Linked DNA regions of Macaca mulatta. The protein of the gene in region 1 purifies or fractionates together with the protein of each later gene. This does not show direct contact. Links are inferred from orthologs where the notes say so. Each region holds a gene or a part of one and is shown in the gene's direction. Other genes may lie near its edges.

Region 1 (3,566 bases):
ATTTGTTTGAGTTAGACCCAGATAAGGGGCCCACCACTGCAGCTGGCTGATGTGGTTTCACACGCTCATTCATCACGGGTTGGGAACACAGTTTGATTTGGGGTGCCCTTGGAGCTGATGTTCATATTTATTGAGATCATCAACTTTGAGTTGGAAAATAAAATACATGTATTGTGGTATGCCTTATTCTGAGATTAAAGGCACTTTTTTTTTTTTTTTTTTTTTTTTTTTTTTTTTTTTTTGGGGAGATAGAGTCTTGCTCTGTCACCAGGCTGGATTGCAGTGGCGCAATCTCAGCTCACTGTAACCTTTGTCTCCCAGGTTCAAGCAATTCTTGTGCCTCAGCCTCCTGAGTAGCTGGGTCTACAGGCGTGCACCACCACACCTGGCTAATTTTTGTAATTTCGGTAGAGACGGGTTTTCGCTATGTTGGCCAGGCTGGTCTCAAACTCCTGACCTCAAGTGATCTCGCCTTGGCTTCCCAAAGTGCTGGGATTACAGGCGTGAACCACTGCGCCTGGCCTAAAGGCACTTTTTATTTTTATTCAGAAAAGGAATGGCCAGTGGCAAACTAACTCAACCCTTTAAAGGGTGGGTATCCAGCTTGCCCATACAGGAACTTTCTGGTGCTATGCTATTGGCAGAGCAGAACTGGGCAGCTCCCCGCTTGGGCTGTGTCCTGTGGTTGTGAGCAATGCATGCCACGTAGTTTAGAGATGGCCTAGAGAGGCTGGACTTCTTTTGGTGAGATGTATTTGCAGGTATTTTGTGGTTAGATTTTCTTCATCCTTTTCCTTCTAGGAAGACCCTTGTTTTGGGTGACTTGGTTTCCATGGGCATTGATGAGAAGGAAAGTGGACATCTCACCACCCCCGCTTCCCTTTTTCTCTGTAGGTCTGTGATGAGGAATGGCACCACTACGTCCTCAATGTGGAATTCCCGAGCGTGACTCTCTATGTGGATGGCACGTCCCACGAGCCCTTCTCTGTGACTGAGGATTACCCGCTCCATCCATCCAAGATAGAAACTCAGCTCGTGGTGGGGGCTTGCTGGCAAGGTAACTGTCATTACCCCTAGCCCTCGACTCGAGAATTAAGTTGTACCTCTTTACTAGGTTGGTGGCAGCAGGCTGTGGTCAGCGTCTTACAGCCTTACCTTTGTGTCCTGGATATCTTCCTTCCATTTCCTGTGTACATCCTATTTGGGGACATTGCCGATGCCCCACTCTAGCTAGTGTAGCTCCATCTGTGGGTGCTCCATAAAGGTGATAGGACTGACCACACTGTCACCTTTCCTGGAAACCCAGGAGGGAGCGTTGCACAGAGGGAGAGTGTAGTGGGGGGAACTGTTTTATAAATTAATCCATCTGTTGAAAGGCTCACAAGGACAAAGAGGCAACAGCAAGAGTCAGGCAGAGAAATAAAGGACACAGAAGTAGAAGCGTGCCTTGGACCTGGAGGACTCTTCCAGAGTGTTTATCACTTGGTGACCTGGTAGGAGGGCTGCGAGGGCTCCGTTCACCCTCAGCAAGGGCCATGCATGGGGGAGGGTTCCATCGAAGTCTGCTGAGAGGGGACACGATAACCACCAGAGCACCAGTGCTTGTTACTTGTACTTACCAAGTGGCAGGCTGTGTGCCAACTCCTTTATACACGTCATCTCACCTAAACCTTAAAATCCCTTTTTTATAGCTGAAGAAACTCAGGCCTAGAGATGCAACAAGCCAAGCGTCACCCAGCTGATTAATCAGGAGCTAGGGTTTTGAATTTTTTTACTTTGAAAATCCTGTGGGTCAGGCGTGGTGTCTCACGCCTATAATGCCAGCACTTTGGGAGACCGAGGCAGGCTGATCCCTTGAGGTCAGAAGTTCGAGACCAGCCTGGCCAACATGGTGAAACCCTGTCTCTACTAAATATACAAAAGTTAGCCAGGCATGATGGCGTGTGCCTGTGATCCCAGCTACTCAGGAGGCTCAGGCAGGAGAATCAGTTGAACCGGGAGGCAGAGGCTGCATGAGCCAAGAATGCCCCATTACACTCCAGCCTGAGCAACAGAGTGAGACCCTGTCTCAAAAGAAAAAGAAAAACCTCTGTATTCCGGTCCCACGCTCAGACCCACCAGATCAGTGTTTTTATTATTGTTATTATTTTAATTTTTTATAAACATGGGGTCTCACTGTGTTCCCCAGGCTGATCTCAAACTCCTAGGCTCAAGAGATCCTCCCACCTCAGACTCCTAAAGTACTGGGGTTACAGGTGTGAACCACCGTGCCCATCTCAGACCTGGGGTTTTAAGCCCTTTTTTGTGCCGTGGAGCCCTTGGGTGGTCTGGCAAGGCAGATAGATCCCTTCTTACTAATCTACAAAATAAATGTCTAGGATTTCAGGGCAATCAGTTCAACTGAAACATCGTTATTAACATCCTGAAATACCACATTTGTGAAACAGTAACACCGGTGGTACTTTATGTTAACAAATGAAGAACCAGCTTTAGCAGCAGGTCCAACAGTGGTGTAAGTTCCAAGTTGTGAGGGCTGTGTGAGGATCTCGGTGGCAGCTGCAACAGCTGTGGCCTGATATGCAAATATCAGTGCCTTCTGTTGGTGACAAAGTTGCAGTCATTGCTAACACTGCTGTGATGTATAGCCTACATTTATAACCAAAGGAAATGCTGAATTTCAGAAGTTAGTGGAAATAAGCATGTAGTTTTTCCTATCCAAGTTCATGGAACCCACCCCAGAGGTTCGTGATTGCCACTTTGACCCTTGCACTGGACTCTGTGCTGTGTCATTTCAAGATGTCATCATCATCAATTACTTTTTGATTTTTTTTCTTTCTCCCTGTGGAAACATTGTACCTCGAGTAAGGTTAGAAATTTATGGAAGATAGCTGGGCGCAGTGGCTCACACCTGTAATCCTAGCACTTTGGGAGACAGAAGCAGGCGGATCACTCGAGATCAGGAGTTCGAGACCAGCCTGGCCAACACGGCAAAACCCTGTCCTTAGTGAAAATACAAAAATTAGCCAGGCGTGGTGGCGTGCGCCTGTAATCCCAGTTACTTGGGAGACAGGAGAATCACTTGAACCTGGGAGGCGGAGGTTTCTGTGAGTCAAGATCATACCACTGCACTCCAGCCTGGGCAACAGAATGAGACTCTGTCTCAAAACAAACAAACAAAAGCCCCACAGATTCTTTAAAACTCAGTTAACAGGAGAGAGGATCTCCTCTTCTTTTTTGTCGGTGGATTCTGCCACTTTTGCTGCACCTTTGCCGTGGAGAGCTTGGGCTGTGGGCAGCAGCTTCATTCCCTTCCACCAGCCTGTTGTAGGGGAACCTTGGTGTGTGTGGAGGTGGCACAGTCCTGTGACTCACATGGGCTTCACCTGGATACAACTCTAGCCTTGCCCCTCGACACGTCCCCACACAGCCGCAGCCCAAAAGGGGCCCCAGTACACCATAGAGGGGAGGGCTACAGGGCTGCAGGGCTTGAGGAGCGGCCTTTCTCCTACAACATGACCTGGAGAGTGCTGGTTCTGTGCTCAGCCACCACATGTGGGCCTTTCTGG
Region 2 (4,317 bases), on another chromosome or scaffold:
CAGGTAAGCAGAATGTCCATGCAGGTGGAAAGTAGGCAGTGAAGGTGTGCTCATCTGAGTGGGGAGGGGCATAGGTCTGGAACCTTGCTGGCGTGCCCTGGCCTTTGCCCCTTTGACCCTGTGGCTACAAAGCTCCCCTACCAGGAGCAGCCCCCACTGGCGACTCTGGCCCTGGGGGCCTGTGAATGTTTGGTGGGGGCAGGGTGTGGAGAGGCCAAGTCCACACTGTATCTAACCCTAGACCATCTCAGGATTCAGCTTCCCCCAGCCCCTTCTCCTCAGGGTCTCAGCTCTGGCCCTCAGGGCAGCAGGAGGATGCGCTATCCTCACCCCCCAGGCCCCCTGCCCTTCTGTGCCCCCCCCCCCCAACTTCAGAACTTGCCATGCCACAGCTTCGCCTAGTCCAGCCACAGGAGAAAAGAAAACGAGGGCAAATCACCACGATTTGGGGGTGGGAGGCAGCTGAGCCCTCGTTCTGCCCAGACAAGGCGTCCTGTACGTCTCCCACGGCTTATCACATCTGCCTGGGACTCAATGAAAGAGCCAGAGGGCCGAAGGTGACACCGGAGTCTCCAGCATGACCTTCGAGGGCCTCCAGGGGATCTCTCAAGCAGTAGGTGGCCGAAGACTGGCTCCCCTGGGGATGCATGTGAGTGTCTGGGAGTGTGTGCTCCCCAGGGTCCCGCGGAGGTCAGGGTCCTCTCCATTTAGGACAGCAAGGAGAGAAAGGCCTGGAGTGAGGCCCTGGGGCTGGGGGCTAAAGCAGCACAGAGTATCAGAAACAGGGTGCTGGGATGGTTACCGGGGACCGCCAGGGAAGACTTGGAGTCCAGCATGCGCCTAAGGGAGCTGCGGTGAGAGGCAGCAGGGGGCCTCCCCTGCCGGATGGGGCTTTCGGAAGAACCGAGGGTTCTTCGCTCTAGGGTCCCCTATTACAGCTGCGCGGCGCGGCGCGGCGGCCCGGGTAGGGTGCGGAGCCTCGCGTTCACCGGCTCTACCTGCGGGACCAGACCCCTGCAGCTCCCCAGCCAGCAGGGCCAGGGCACGCCCGGGAATCTGTGTGCTCCCCAGGACCCGGGGCGTTCGGGGCGCCGCGCCTTCCAGCGCCTGGGTTCCAGCCCGGGTCCCGGATACCGGCCCGGCGGGACCCAGGTTCCGAGTGCACCCTCCTGCCCTGCCGACTGCCCCAGCGCCGGGGCCAGGGGGCGCAGGGCCTCGCGCACGCCCGGCACGGACGCATCTTTGTCTTTCCTCTCTTCCCGGCGCGCGATCTAGCCGGGAATCGTTTTCCGGCCTCGGTGTGCTCGGCGGGGGTGAGGCGGAAGCGGCCGGGGCGGGGGCGCGGGCCCGGCAGCCACAGGCCGGTGCGGGATGCGCCCCGCAGCCGCGCCGCGTGCGCCCGGCAGAGGCGGCCCTGCGTGCCGTACGCTGCGTCCGGGGCGCGCCCGCCGCTATTCGGGAAGCTATTCAGCTTCCCGGGCTCATTAGCAGTCGCGGTGTGCGGCTCGGCGCGGGCTCACAAAGAGCTCGGCCTCGCGGACGGAGCCGGCGGCGGCGGGGCGGGGACGGCGGCGTACCGGGGCAGCCCAGCGCCCGGGCCAGGTAAGCTGGGGAACCCGGGCTGCCTGACTCGCCGGCGGCGGCAGCCTGGGGCCGCCCGGGGCGCCGCGAGAACCCGGACGCGTGGGGGGCGGCGCGGAGGTTGCGGCCCGAGCGCTCCCGAGCGCTGCCCTCCGGGCTTGGCGTGGCTGCGGGGCGGCCGCCGCTGGGATCTGGGGGTACAGCCCGGCGGCCCCACTCCTCTCTGACCGGCCCCTTCCCCCTCCCACGACGGGAGGGCGGGCGGGCGGGGCGGGGACCAGGCGGCGGCTCTCGCATCCCTGGCAGGGGGGCACCGCGGCAAGGGGCCATCCGGCGGGGGCAAGAGGCGCTGTGTGGCGGTGCTGTCCGCTCGGGTTCTGCCGGGCTGGCCGGGCCGCTTGGCAGCGGCATCAAGTCCCCGTGCCGGGCGGCAACTACTGAGTTTGGGGTCGCCTCTGGGTTCGCTGCCCTCGGAGAACCCAATCCCAGATCTTCGCCCCCTTCCCTTTCCCTTTATAATAAGGCCCAGAGGGAAAAACTTATAAATTAAAAACCCCACACCCCGTTGCCCCTGGACTGCAGGTGCCCGGTTGGGGGCACGGCACGGACCTGCCCCTTGGCCTGGCCCCTTCCCCATGGCAGGCACTGCCTGGCAAGGCTGCTGGCGGGAGATCTGGCTCAGATGGTGAAGGAGAACATCGAGGTCCCCAGTTCCCAAGCAGGGCTCCATGGGCCCGGCGGCGGGCCTCGGTGTGCCCAGGCGGGGAGGGGGCGAACTTCCTTTCGCCAACGCCTGCCAAGGACCCCCGTGGAGAGCAGAGCCTTAGAGGAGCCTGCTGATCTTAACTTCGTATTTACTGGCAGAAGGAAGGCTTAATTTTTCAGATCTATTTAGATAGGACCTGGCAGGCACCAGACGTAAATCTGTGGTTGAGTGCAGTCAGCTCCTAAATGGGCATGTGGAGGGTGAGGCACCCCAAACTCGACATCTTGCGTCTGGCACTGTTTTTGGGCTAAACTGCCTCTGGCTTCTTCAACCTCCTGTGCCTCTTTCTGTTTTTGTTTGTTTCTGTTTTCCTTCCTCTTTGAGAAAGGACAGTGGTTTTAGAAATAATGACCGGAGAGCTTTGCAGATTGAAGTGGGACAAGTTTTCCTGAGGTGCATGTTGGCAGGTGCCAGGAGCCTGCAGGCGGCGTTTTCTCAGGCCTCTGGGTCAGGGTCCCTCCAGTGAGGTGAGGCAGGGGTTTCTCCCTTCCCAGAGGTGTGGCCACTATGCCGAGGACAGGATCTCGGTTTCCGAGTCTGGGGCATCCAGGATGCCCTGCCCTCTGCACTGATTCCTGGGTAACCATGGGAGCTGCTCCCCTCTGCAGCCTGGGCTGGAGGGAATCTCCTGAGCTTAGGATTTGCGGGACAGGAGGGCCAGGGTGACGCGGACCTGGAACGCTGGGGCGCCGGGCAGTGTCCAGGGCGTGAGTGGATGAAGCTGGAGCTTGCGGCTGTGTGCTGGCAGCCCTCCCTTGGTGGGCTCTAGCAGCATTGGCAGGGGGGCCCTTGGAGTGAGCTCCATGGCTGGGCTGGGGGGTGATGGCACTAGCGATGGGGCACCGAGTCTTCCCTCTCATTTGTTAGGAAGTGCGGTTTGTGCTCCTCCCCACTGTCTCCTGGGCTCATGGGATTTGAGAAGCTGCAGGCTGAGTCCCACGGGGTGTGAGTGTGTGTGAGCAGGAGAGTTGGGCGGGCGCTGGAAGGAGGTGAAACTGGTGACCGTCAGCTCCTCATTCTCTTCCACCTTGCATGTTTTCGCTGACACCCCAGACCCAAGCTGTGGCCTGCTAGTTAACTTGTTTACATAACCTTCTTAAGTAGTTCTAACCTTTTTTTTTTCCCTCAACAAAATGTTAGTTTTACAGGCATAATTGGTGGGGATGGATTGTGAAATGGAGGTGCATAAATACCTAGTTTGCCAACTGAGCTAAGAAATACTGGATAAAAATAAGAGATAATTGTAAACGACACTGATCACACCCCTGGAAGCCGAGAGGGGTGATAAGACACCTTGATTTTTCTAGACAAAACTGAGGAAGTCAGAGGAAAAACAGTTGATGGTGAGGTTGGCATCAATCTGGCCTTTGTTTGGATCGGGCCGCGGTAGCTGCGGTGAGGGCTGTTGTTGGGCGCTCCTCGCTGTCCTCTGCCACGCATACCTGCCCCGGTGACTCAACAGGTGTGGGCTTCAGGTGACACCATGGTCTGAAGTCTTGGAGAAACCTTTACTGTCCAGGGGAGAAGAGGACTGGCGATCGGTGGGCATCGAGACCCTGCACACATCACTGGGTGGCTTGACTGGCTTCGACAGAGATCACATGCCCTGCCTTGCAGCCTGGTCCTTAGAGAAACAGAGAGAGTGGAGAGAGCTCTGGCCTGGGCAGCGGGCCTGGCTGCACCACTCACAGGCTGTGTGCCCTCCCTGCACAGTCTCAGTTCCTCACCCTTGCCAGGTGGCCGTGAGGACTGGGGACGTGGAGGCACAGGTAGGGTGTAAGGTAGCCACTAATGACCAGGCAGGTCTCCCCAGTGTAGGTGAAGTTTGAGAAGGTTGCTCACCCGGAGGCAGCCTGTGTGCCCGGCGGGGGTTGGAGGTGCTCATTGTTCTCTTGGATGGTGGTTGGGCCGAGCGCCCACAGGGAGGCTTCTCTGGCTCCTTCCTTTCCCAGAGCTCCTCCCCACCCCCC
Region 3 (4,055 bases), on another chromosome or scaffold:
CCTCCCAAAGTGCTGGGATTACAGGCTTGAGCCACCGCGCCCGGCCAGCCCACCTTTGTCTTTATAAATGAGATAAAAGTAACCAGACCTCCCTGGGAAAACCGGGATGCAGTTGCTTCTCTGGTGACTGCGGGGCATAACTGCAGGGTTCACACAGGGCTGCTGGTGCTGGGTGGTAACATCGGAAAGGAACAGCAGTTCACAAGATGGGGTTCGGGGACTGGCCCAGGAACCCCTCCAGGTTAAACGATGCCTCCGGGCCCCGCATTTGGGACGTCTGCAGGCACTGGGAGGGCTTATCCCAAGCCGCTGGCAGCAGCGAGTGGAGCCTCGCCCACTGAATCAGCATGCCCTCCCGGCTGGCTGCTGAGTCAGGCCTGCGGAGCCGGCGAAGCCGCAGGACTTGACCCAGGCCCGCTCCGTTGCCCTTCAGGCCGGGCTGGAGGTCGAGGCCCTGCAGCCAGGGAGATGCGCCGGTGGCTGCGTGGGGTCAGAGAGTGGATGTCTCCCACCCTCACAGCCTACACCCCGGCCCTTCCCCTTTGCCCGTCTGAGGCGCAGTTTGTGTCGAGGGGGAGCGCCTGGAAAGTCTCCTCGTACAGATACGAGGGTCCAAAAGCCCCGAGGAGAGGGAGGCGCAGGGTTAGGGATCAGGGTCTCGACCAAAGGCTGTCGGTTTTCCTGGAGAAGGGAGAAAGGCCTGGCCGGGATCCTGTGATTCCGGGGGCTCCCAAAGGCTTCCTAATGGGGTTTTGGGGGGACCGAAATGAGCGCACGAAGCTCGCGGGCCTCCGAGTGGGGCGGGGCGGGAGCCCAGTGGTGGCGGCTGCGGCCAGGCCTGCACCTTCCCCGGCCGCATTTCGGTAGTGCCCACAGCCCGGCTGGAGGGGAAGGTGCCGAAGCGCTCGGTCATCGCGGCTGTGAGGTCGGAGAGGCCAGGGCCTGGCCGCCCACCCCGCGAGCCGCGCCCTGCCCCAAGCGCCCCGCCCCCGTCCGTGTTCCAGCCGGGAGGCCCGCGGCGTCCTGCACCGTCACCCTGTTCCCTGTGACCGCCCTCCTGATACCCAAACAGCTTCCTCGCCCCTCCAGTCCCCAGCTCGCCGAGCGCTTGCTGAGAGCCACCCAGCCTCAGTTTCCCCAGCCCCGGGCGGCGCGAGAGGCGATGACGTCATGCCGGCGCGCGGCATTGTGGGGCGGGGCGAGGCGGGGCGCCGCGGGAGCAACACTGAGACGCCATTTTCGGCGGCGGGAGAGGCGCAGGCGGCCGAGCGGGACTGGCTGGGTCGGCTCCGCTGCCGCTGCGAGGAGGAGCCGCGGGGCTGTGCTCGGCGGCCAAGGGGACAGCGCGCGGGCGGCTGAGGATGCTACGGGGCGGCGGCGCCCCTCGCTCGTGACTGCTGCGCCGCGCCTCACACAGCCGAGGCGGGCTCGGCGCGCGGTCGCTGCTCCGCGCGCGCGCCCGGCGGCGCTCCTGGTGCTGACAGCGCGAGACAGCGCGGCCCTCAGGAGCTGGACGGTGAGTCCCCGGCGTGCGCCCCGGACCGCGGCCCCGGCCCCCTCCTCATCCTCCGCCCCGGCCCTGTCTCGCTCCTTTTCGGACCTGCCCCGGGCGCAACTCCGTCTGCATCCAGGTCCCTGTCCCGGTTTGGGTCCCAGACCCTGTCGGTTCCCACCCCGGTACCCGCCCCAGTTCACCGCCCCGGCCGGTCCGCGACCCCTTGCAGGTTCAGGTCGGGTTCCTGTCCCCGGCCCCTTTCCCAGCCCCAGCTCCCGGCGCCGTGCGTCCTCCCCATCCGCGTCCCACTGCAGGTTCCGGTCCTCGACCCTGCCCAGGGCCCCGCCCTGGTCCCGCATCCGCGGCTCGGCCCAGCTGCGGGCGGCGGCGGCCTTTCCCGGGGACAGCTGTGGACCCCGGGAGCCCGCGACAGGGGAGGTGGCCGCCCCCGGGATCGCGGCGGGCGGGGAGGCCGGAGGCCCGGCGGGGCTGGCTTTGTCCGATTCCTCCTCTTCCTTCCACCCCCGCCTCTCCCGGCACCGCCCTGAGCGGACGCGCCTGTCATCCTCGCGGGCGGCGGGGGGCCGGGTCCCTCCCGAGAGCCGACTCCGCTTCGCCTCTTTGGCGACCCGTTTTTTTCGGTAACCAGATGTGAAACGTTTCAGGCGACCCTGTTCACCTAAGCTGGCGTTGCTCCAACTAAAGTTGAAGCAGCCCCCGTCCTGGAATGCTTTTTCGATGTAAAATTGGGTGCACCCTTTTCCCTAGGAAAATTAAAATAAAGCGTTAAAAAAGTGAAATTAATGCGTGATGGAGTGGATGGTTTTATACTTAATATTTGTAGGTCGTTTCTAGGTATATTTGTATTGGAATTGTTGCTGCCTGTTACTTTTTATTATTTCAATGCATTAAGAATTTACATATTAAGCATTTATAAAGGAATACTTACAAAAATGATGCTTCTAAAAAATGTGAGAACAAAAAATTTGAGATATACTATTTCAGGTGTTCTGTAAAAGGGCAGTTAGAGCTTTGATTCTTTGCATTAGTTAAATTCCAAGGCCTTTTTTTTTTGGTATGGCATGACTAAGCCATTGATCAGAATCAGCTCGGAATACATTGCACTAGTTTAGTGAAAAACGCATTAGGAAACTGGAACGACCTCCTTAAGTTATATTACAGCCATGGCCTTGCTTCTTTCAGGTATTGCCAACAAGCCTGTTATGGTGAGAAATTTGACCTATTGCTCTGTTTCCTAAATATTTGTAGGAATACAATGATACCAAGTATGAAGTGTATTTCAACTTGTATGGAATTCTGTGTGGGAGGGTAGGCACTCTAAAGAGCCAGTGTCTCTCCAAGTCATCAAAGAATGCAACATCATGTTGCGGTTGAGCCTGGCAGCCCTGTCTGGCACTGAGTGCTGTGGAGGACCCAGGTGGTAACCTCTAACCCTACTGCAGCCTTGCGCACCTCACCTTGCCTAGCATTGTCTTAGAAAAGCATCCAGACGTGCACAGGAGTCTGTGTACTGGACAGCGTTTATCTCCAGCAAAGGGGAAGGGAATGACACTGGGGAGAGGCACACAGTGTCTTAAATATTTCATAACAAATAACTGCACTCATTTAAATTTTATACTTTTTTTTTTTTTTTTTTTTGAGATGGAGTCTTGCTCTGTTGCCCAGGCTGGAGTGCAGTGGTGCGATCTCTGCTCATGGCAAGCTCCGCCTCCCGGGTTCACGCCATTCTCCTGCCTCAGCCTCCCCAGTAGCTGGGACTCCAGGCGCCCGCCACCACGCCCAGCTAATTTTTTGTGTTTTTAGTAGAGACGGTGTTTCACCGTGTTAGCTAGGATGTTCTCGATCTCCTGACTTCATGATTTGCCCACCTTGACCTCCCAAAGGGCTGGGATTAACAGGCGTGAGCCACTGCGCCTGGCCCAAATTTATACATTTTTAAAATTTATACATTCTTAAGCATGTTTCTCAGTGTTGGAAAAAAGTCAATGTGTAACTCTGTATAGGGCCATAAACTATTTTAAAACATACTTGTATAAAAAGAAACCTAGAATAGAAAAATCAAAAGTTGAGTGAAATGTAGGATTAGTATCGCCTGAAAATGTTCTTCGTAGATAAGTGGAATGTTAGAAACCAGTATTTTATTTTTATTTATTTATTTGTTTAGAGATGAGTCTTGCTCTGTCGCTTAGACTGGAGTTCAGTGGTATGATCTCGGCTCCCTGCAACCTCTGCTTCCCAGGTTCAAGAAGTTCTCCTGCCTCAGCCTCCCTAGTAGCTGAGATTACAGGCGCCCACTACTACACCAGGCTAATTTTTTGTATTTTTAGTAGAGACGGGGTTTCACCACGTTGGCCAGGCTGGTCTCCAACTCCTAACCTCAGGTGATCCACCCGCCTCAGCCTCCCAAAATGCTAGGATTACAGGTGTGAGCCATTGCACCTGGGCCGAAACCAGTATTTTATGTAGCAAAGAAATGATCAGTAATATATTCAAACGAGAGTAATATATTCAAACGAGAGTATTTGGGAAGATTTAAGTG

The links. The genes of interacting proteins can lie anywhere in the genome.
Region 2: the proteins of CLSTN1 (region 1) and APBA2 purify together in Homo sapiens (affinity purification with western blotting; 3 studies listed by BioGRID and IntAct, with this or other methods). This does not show direct contact. The link is inferred for Macaca mulatta from reciprocal best matches to the Homo sapiens genes CLSTN1 and APBA2.
Region 3: the proteins of CLSTN1 (region 1) and KLC1 purify together in Homo sapiens (co-immunoprecipitation; 3 studies listed by BioGRID and IntAct, with this or other methods). This does not show direct contact. The link is inferred for Macaca mulatta from reciprocal best matches to the Homo sapiens genes CLSTN1 and KLC1.

Annotation. Positions count from the first base shown.
Region 1 is NC_133406.1:231,018,122-231,021,687, forward strand, and holds part of CLSTN1 (calsyntenin-1), read left to right. Parts: intron 1-894; coding exon 895-1,057; intron 1,058-3,566. UniProt on the Homo sapiens protein: Postsynaptic adhesion molecule that binds to presynaptic neurexins to mediate both excitatory and inhibitory synapse formation.
Region 2 is NC_133412.1:9,534,391-9,538,707, reverse strand, and holds the start of APBA2 (amyloid-beta A4 precursor protein-binding family A member 2), read left to right. Parts: upstream 1-1,483; 5' UTR 1,484-1,602; intron 1,603-4,317. UniProt on the Homo sapiens protein: Putative function in synaptic vesicle exocytosis by binding to STXBP1, an essential component of the synaptic vesicle exocytotic machinery. May modulate processing of the amyloid-beta precursor protein (APP) and hence formation of APP-beta.
Region 3 is NC_133412.1:177,048,826-177,052,880, forward strand, and holds the start of KLC1 (kinesin light chain 1), read left to right. Parts: upstream 1-1,221; 5' UTR 1,222-1,516; intron 1,517-4,055. UniProt on the Homo sapiens protein: Kinesin is a microtubule-associated force-producing protein that may play a role in organelle transport. The light chain may function in coupling of cargo to the heavy chain or in the modulation of its ATPase activity.